2 linked regions of the Sus scrofa genome follow. The protein of the gene in region 2 interacts with the protein of the main gene of each other region in a biochemical or structural test. Links are inferred from orthologs where the notes say so. Each region holds a gene or a part of one and is shown on either strand. Other genes may lie near its edges.

Region 1 (3,267 bases), on a different chromosome or scaffold from region 2:
GGTGGCCAGAGCTGTTTCATGCCTAGGACACATGGAATGAACTGTTTTCCTGGGTCTTAGAGGAAAAGGATCAGAGACACCTGTCTCATAAATTGACTGTTTTCTTGCCTATGAAGTGAGTGTTTAATAGTGCTTGAGTTGTTGGGAAAAATAAATTCATAAGCATTTTTTCCCCCCTGGGGCCACACCTGTGGCATACGGGGAGGTTCCCAGGCTAGGGTTCCAATTGGAGTTGTAACTGTCGGCCTACACCAGAGCCATGGTAACATTGGATCCAAGCTGCCTCTGCTGCCTATACCACAGCCCACGGCAATGCAGGATCCTTAACCCACTGAGCAGGGCCAGGGATCGAACCCACAACCTTATGGTTCCTAGCCAGATTTGTTAATCACTGAGGCACGACAGGAACTCCAGTACATAAGCATTTATGAGATGGAGCCTGGTGACTATAGCTAACACAGCATTTTATCTTTTCAGATACAGAAGGTGGTTATGGCATTAGGAGATTACATGGGTGCTTCCTGCCATGCCTGCATTGGTGGTACCAATGTGCGTGCTGAGGTGCAGAAGCTACAGATGGAAGCTCCCCACATCATCGTGGGTACCCCAGGCCGTGTGTTTGATATGCTTAACAGGAGATACTTGTGTGAGTGTCTCAATTTTCCAGGTCTCTGGGTCACTTCCTTAAGCATGTTTTCCCAGTTTTTTTTTTTTTTTTTTTAAGCATTGCTCTGTGATGAACCCCATGCGTGTCATCTGAGCCTGGCTTCCCTGTCAGCTCAGCCCAGGTAGTGTTCTACTTCTCAGGGCTGTTGTCTGGCCTTGCAAGGGGCTCACAGGCAAAGGATCAATCTTTGTATTCTGAGAGCAGACCACCTATCTCCTATTCTTTATCTGGGAAGAAGTGAAAGTATATCTTACCTTTTTTAAATACCTGTTGGTGTGTGTGTGTTTTTTTTTCTTTTGTTAGCTCCCAAATACATCAAGATGTTTGTATTGGATGAAGCTGATGAGATGTTAAGCCGAGGGTTCAAGGACCAGATCTATGACATATTCCAAAAGCTCAATAGCAACACCCAGGTGAGAAGAACATTGGGGTTTTGCTCGTGTGAGTGGTGATTCCTTTGTACGGATGGTAGTGTTCTCGGGGTGAGAGACCATTACAAAGTGCCAGACAAACCATAAAGCTCTGGAGGACCTGCTACCTCCCCTGAGACTGTTGTCCCCATTAGGTGGTTTTGCTGTCAGCTACAATGCCTTCTGATGTGCTGGAAGTGACCAAGAAGTTCATGCGGGACCCAATTCGAATCCTTGTCAAGAAGGAAGAGCTGACCCTGGAGGGTATTCGCCAATTCTACATCAATGTGGAACGCGAGGTGGGGCCCAGTGCAGGAGGCGGGCCTGGCAGGAAGGCGGGGGGATAGCCCCTGACTGATTTCTCCCCCACCCCCAGGAGTGGAAGCTGGACACCCTGTGTGACTTGTACGAAACCCTGACCATCACCCAGGCAGTCATCTTCATCAACACCCGAAGGAAGGTCGACTGGCTCACGGAGAAGATGCACGCCCGAGACTTCACCGTCTCTGCTATGGTGAGCGCCCGCCGCCACCGCTGCGGCCGTGGTTTCCCAGCAAGAGGGGGGCTGTCACAGGCCTACTTCCCCAGCCAGTTCTCGCTGAACCAGCACACCTACCTGCTAACAGCCGCCTTCTGTTTCCTGTTGTAGCACGGGGACATGGACCAGAAAGAACGCGACGTCATCATGAGGGAGTTCCGCTCGGGCTCCAGCAGAGTGTTGATTACCACGGATCTGCTGGTGAGTAGAAGCTGAGTAGAAGCGAGTGTGAGAAGACTGGGGACCAAGGGCGGATCCAAGGTGATTCCCTCTCCAAGGGGCCTGCTTGTGCCCCTCTTCTGGAAAGTAGCAGCTTGGAATAACATCTGGCAGGCCTGAGGCTCTGGCGGCGAGGGGCTGTAAACATCCTCTGCCTGCCTTGGGCTGCCCACACACACGCCTCTCCTGGACAGACTCCTCCCTCTCCCTGGAGTCACCCACTGAAGCCGCCTTCTCTCCCACACAGGCCAGAGGCATCGACGTGCAGCAGGTTTCCTTAGTCATCAACTATGACCTTCCCACCAACAGGGAAAACTACATCCACAGGTAAAGACACCTGCCAGGCTGCCCCCCCCCGCCCAGTCCTCCCTGCACAGCAGCGCCCCGGTCTTCCCCATCTTCCTCATACTCTAACTTGTTTCCCAGGATCGGTCGTGGCGGACGTTTTGGCCGTAAGGGTGTGGCTATTAACATGGTGACAGAAGAAGACAAGAGGACTCTCCGGGACATTGAGACCTTCTACAACACCTCCATCGAGGAGATGCCCCTCAATGTTGCTGACCTCATCTGAGGCGCTGCTCTGCTCTCCCAGCCCCAGCCAGGGATCCGACCTGTCCTTGAGGGGGGCTGAGGAACAGCAGCAGGGGGGAGGGAAGGGAGCCAAGGGATGGACATCTTGTCATTTTTTTCTTTTTTTTTTTTTTTCTTTGAATAAATGTCACTTTTTGAGGCAAAAGAAGGAACCATGACCATTTTAGACACCCTTTTCTTTGGGGCAGGCTCTTGCCCCAGGCGCCGGCTCTTCTCCCAGAAACACTAATCCATTTCCCTAACCTCGTCAACTTTCAAACCCAAGGCTCTCCCCACCCCAGCTGAATTCTGAAAATAATTCAGTGGGGGCTGTAATGCCCCTCCACCTCATTTGCTGGACCAAATCTGGAGGGAGAGCCCGAGTTAAGTGGCCCAGGGCACTGTCCCCAGGTGGGGGGGGAGCAGGGGAAAGAACATGGTAGCCATTTTTACATTGTTTTTGTATAGTATTTATTGATGCAGGAAAACAAACACAAAATTCTGAATAAAATAACTTGGAAACTGCTTTGGCTTCTCATTTCTTACCTCTCCTTCCCCTACCCCGCTACTGGGTAGGTACAGCTCTGCTCCCCTGCTGAACTGGGTAACCGGTAACATGACTCTTAGGAAGGGGCTGGGCCAGCACAGTCATAAGCAGCTCACATGTCTCTAGGCAAAGAGGAAGTGATCTGAGCCCAGAGAAAGGGGAAATCAAAGTTGTGATCTTTACACCCCGTTGAGCTTGGGGGGTGGGGGGCTGTGGCTGCAGGCTCTGGTCCTTTGATCACCTGCAACCCCTGAGCATATTTTCCTGAGGTGGACAAGAGTCTCCCAGGATCGACTACCCCAAACTCCCTTCTCAC
Region 2 (4,287 bases):
GCTGCACTCTGCACTCGGGAGGCTGCACTGCTCGGGGGCTGGGCCCGGCTAGGGTAGAAGTGCTGTCAGGAGGGAGGAAGGCAGTTGGCAATGGGAAGGGGAGGAGGTGGACAGCAAAAGGGCCATTCCACTATGTCTCTAGTCAGGAGAGAAGTACCAGGGGCTTTGGAGCATGAAGACCAACACTTCCAAGACTCACTTGACCAAGTGATGGCTAAGTGGCCTCTTATACTCACATACGCCCTCCAAACTCAGGTATACACTTGGCACTCTGTATATTTACTCCCTCCCTGCCATGCATACTCAGATCACCTCACCAGGCTATCCTTCAGCAGAGGCTTCCTAACACCCAGATGCATCATGCCTAAGTAAAGCCTTTTTCAGCAACATACTCCCCAGCATGCACTGCTCCACCCTAAGGTACTGAGGAGCTCACCGCTAACATGCAACAGTCTCCCAGTTCCCAGATGTGAACTACACAAGATTTAGCCCCTAACATGCATCGGTCAGCCTCAGACTGAGGACCCAGACTGAGTCTAGCCCCTGACTAGGGCAGAGTGTAAGGGTGAGACCCGGAGAGAGTTCAGGATTAGCAATGGGGTATTACCTGCAGAGACCTGAATCCTCCCTGAGAGCACATGGGGACAGGAAAGAAAAGAATTATCCCCAAGGTGATGAGGAGGGAAAGAAAATGAAGGAAGCAGGACAAGAATCCTCTCCCACTTGTGAGGAAGAATTTAGGGAACAGAGAAAGGCAAGAACTAGCTGGAGTGTTTATCTTGCCACAGTCCAAAAGAGAAAGATGGATGGGGAATGGAGCAATGGCAACCTCCCAGTAAAAGAAAACAGGAAAGCAGGAGTTGGCAGCAGGGCCCAAAGCACTGCCCCCAAGGCACCAGGACCCCTAGGAATGCCATCCCCACCAACTACATACTCCAAGGGGCCAGCCACCGTAAGTAATCAACAGTGCAAAGTGCAGAACCGCATGAAAGCAACTGTCAGGAAGTTGGGGCAGGTACAAGGCCTCCATAGTTTCCATCCTAGGCCCAAACTGGCCTAAGCTTCACATGGTTCCCACCCAGGCCCCCTACTCCCCTCCCCACAGCCCCTCACCTGGCGGGGCTGAGAAGGCGTGTTCATTTGTGTCGCTTGAGGCGTACTGAACACCACCGGTGCTGTCTGCCCCGGGGGAAACGCTGGCTGAAGGGGGGAGACCAGAATTCAGCAAGAGGGGAAACCCAGGTGGGGCAGAAACTCAAGCTGGTGAAGTAAGGGGAGCAGAGCTGTGGCAAGAGCCTCAACAGTCCACATATACCCTCCCCAAGACAGCCCCTAAGAACAGCCCCGGGGCCCTGCCTCAATTTGGCAGCAGGAAGCTGCACTTTGCCCTGACACAGAAGGGGGTGGGAAAATCCAGAGGTTGGAACCTGTTCCTGACCCGGCTGCCTGGTCTCCCCCACCCCCACCCCAGTTGCTGCTAATTCCTCCCTAATTACCTGTGGGAGTCCAGGGGATGGGGCAGGTGGGGGGCCTGTGGGCTGTGGAGCTTTGTTCATTTCATTTGGTGCCACATCAGGGTCCCCCCAGCACCTGTTGGGAAAGAGCGGAGCTCGGAAAGGGGAAGGGACCCAAGCTTAAGGCAAATGGAGTGGGGGAGGGATGAAGCAAGGTCTGGGTCCCACAACAAGCCCCGGAATCGCCAAAAAGGTGAAGGAGCATAAAACCCAGCCTATGTCCCCACCGACACCTTGTCAGACCCGCAGCTCCAACCACCCCCCCTGATCTGCTGAAACAGCCCCTCACTCACCCCCTCGGTTAAGAATAAATCCACGGTGCGGCCTACAGGTTCTGGGCATCCGAGGGCCTGGGGTTGGGAGGTGGGGGGTATCAACCTGGCTCCGCGGGGCCCAAGACCAACCAGACCGGAAATTCCAGGTCTCGCTGGCACCAGGCTCCCGGATCACAAACGGAGCTAGCAGCTTCGGCCGTGGTGTCCCCACCCCCCACCCGGGGACACCGGGTTCGGGGCCTGGCCCAGGGGCACACAAGGCACGCCTGCCGCGGGTGGCCGCGGGTGCACCCGCACGGGGCTAGAGGCGAGGCCTGCCGCCGCCCAGGAGTGGAGGCCAGGAAAAGCGGCAGTCGGGCCGTAAAAGGCCAGGCGGGCGGCGGCCGAAGAAGAGCCGGTTTGAAGCAAGTGAGGGTCGGCCTGGAGGGCGGGCGGGGCCGGGGGCTCCTCCCTGCCCGCCGCCGCCGCCTCCCTCCCCTGCGCCCTCCCTGCGCAGCGCCGGCCAGTGCCAAAGAACAACGTGTCACTTCCCGGCGGCCGGGCCGCAAAGGGGGGAGGGGGCGGCGGGCCGGGAGTCGCGGTGCCTGCGCCCGTAGGGCCTCCTCGGGTCGGGCCGAGGTGGCACTTAGCAGCCGGGAAACCCGGCGCCCTCCCAGCCCGCGGGGACCGCATATTCCGGCCCCGCGCTCCCCCACCCCCACCCAGCAGCCAGGCCGGGCCAGGCCGGGCACACGTGGGCCGGGGATCGGGCCCTGGCGGCCCGGGGCCCGGGCTTGGGCCGAGGAGCCAGGGCGCCGGGGAGGCGGCGCAGGGTAGCCGGTCCCGGCCCGGATGGCGGCGGATGCGGGGGGAGGGGATGGGGGGGCCGGGTCGGGCCCGGACATGGCGGCTTTACCTTCAGTCTCCTTCAGTCCGCGCGGCCGAGCCCCACGCAGCCGCACAGACGTAGTCCACAACCATTTCCGGCTCCCCGCACGGATCCCGCTCGGCGGCCACCGCTTCTCCGCAGGCGCAGCCGGCGCCCCCACGTGACCGGCGCAGAGGGCGGAGCCTTGCCCGGTGCCGCGAAGCACATGGGATTTGCCCCGCCTAGTCATGTGACAGCCACTGCCCGCCCCCGTGTCCCCTCCCGAACTTTGGAATTCCCAGACCGATCCCCCTCTGCGACTCAGTTCCGCGATTCTTTAGTTCATTCATACTTTGAGCAGGCATTTATTGAGTGCATACTGAATGCTAGGCTAAGTGCTGGCAGGGGGCTGAGAATACTGAAATTAAAGACTCAGTCCTGCCGAAGTAAATCATGGTACAAATGCGGAAAGAAACACACGTTAGGCAGCCTTTGAAAGTAATGTAGATTAGATCAATAAAAGACTTATTAAACTGAATGTTTATATGTTTAATAAGGATTGAAACATTCTAACTAGGGAATTAGTAAATTTGTCTCTTTTTTTTTTTTTTTGCCACATCTTCCAGCATATGGAAGTCCCCTGACCTCGGATGGAATCCGTGCCACAGTAGCAGCCCGAGCCGCTGCAGTGACAACGTGGGATCTTTAATAAGGGAACTACTAGATTTGTCTTTTATAAAGAATAAAAATCGGCCATTCCCAGGGAGGAACTAAAAGCAATCACACAAACTTCAAATAGTGGTGGAACAAGTAATCCCAAGACCCCTCCCTGCCCAGTAGCCAAAAGATTTTAAACTGCCTGAAGGGACATACTAGAGTCAAATCTACTTACTCCTAGTCAGCCCCAGAATTTAATCCAAACTCTACTACTTACTTATAGGTTGTAAAATGGAACTATTTGGAGTTTCTGTGTGGCTCAGCTGCATTGGCTGGTGTCACTGCTGTGGCACAGGTTTGATCCCTAGCTTAGAAATTAGAAACTGCAGGAAGCCATGGGCATGACAAAAAAAAAAAGGAAATACTTGAAACTAGGCAGTCTAGCTCAAGTTTGAACTTTTACCCACCATTGTGAGGATTTAAAGGAGTTAATTCCTGTGAAAGTGCTTAAAACAGTGCCTAGGTGCCTAGCAAAGGCTATTTCTTCTCTCTCCTCCACATCTGCCCCCTTCTGTATCCAAACACATATAATCTCACAGGAAAACAATTTCTTTGGCACCAATGATGAACTGGTCACTCTGAATATATGACCCTTGTGATCTCAATCCTTACAACTTCTTACAAAATGGATTGTATCATTATTCCCATTGGATGAGTAACTGATGCTCCAAAGAAAGGAGAGCAGAATAGACACATAGAGGAGGAACCATAGAAAAATGAAAGATCTAGAGTGTTCTCTGTGATGCTCTTCATTTGAGTTCTGTGACTTTATCATGTCTGACTGGCTGGCTCCCTTCTCTGGTCTTCTCATTTCTCTTTCTCCCTAAGCAAACTTATAAATAAAAATCAATTACTGCCTACATGCCAATTCGTTCCCAGCTCAGAAATCACTCTTGAACAACAGTCAGAACCAAGGTACTACCAGAGATCCCTT

What was found.
Region 1: the proteins of EIF4G1 (region 2) and EIF4A1 form a complex in vitro, tested with the Homo sapiens proteins (3 studies listed by IntAct, with this or other methods). The link is inferred for Sus scrofa from reciprocal best matches to the Homo sapiens genes EIF4G1 and EIF4A1.

What each region holds. Positions count from the first base shown.
Region 1 is NC_010454.4:52,871,320-52,874,586, forward strand, and holds the end of EIF4A1 (eukaryotic initiation factor 4A-I), read left to right. Parts: intron 1-477; coding exon 478-646; intron 647-970; coding exon 971-1,080; intron 1,081-1,232; coding exon 1,233-1,376; intron 1,377-1,453; coding exon 1,454-1,591; intron 1,592-1,726; coding exon 1,727-1,816; intron 1,817-2,081; coding exon 2,082-2,161; intron 2,162-2,260; coding exon 2,261-2,405; 3' UTR 2,406-2,617; downstream 2,618-3,267. UniProt on the Homo sapiens protein: ATP-dependent RNA helicase which is a subunit of the eIF4F complex involved in cap recognition and is required for mRNA binding to ribosome.
Region 2 is NC_010455.5:122,202,056-122,206,342, reverse strand, and holds the start of EIF4G1 (eukaryotic translation initiation factor 4 gamma 1), read right to left. Parts: upstream 2,838-4,287; 5' UTR 2,685-2,837; intron 2,233-2,684; exon of another isoform or gene 1,865-2,232; 5' UTR 1,808-1,864; intron 1,591-1,807; 5' UTR 1,557-1,590; coding exon 1,497-1,556; intron 1,261-1,496; exon of another isoform or gene 1,201-1,260; coding exon 1,114-1,200; intron 629-1,113; coding exon of another isoform or gene 608-628; intron 63-607; coding exon 1-62.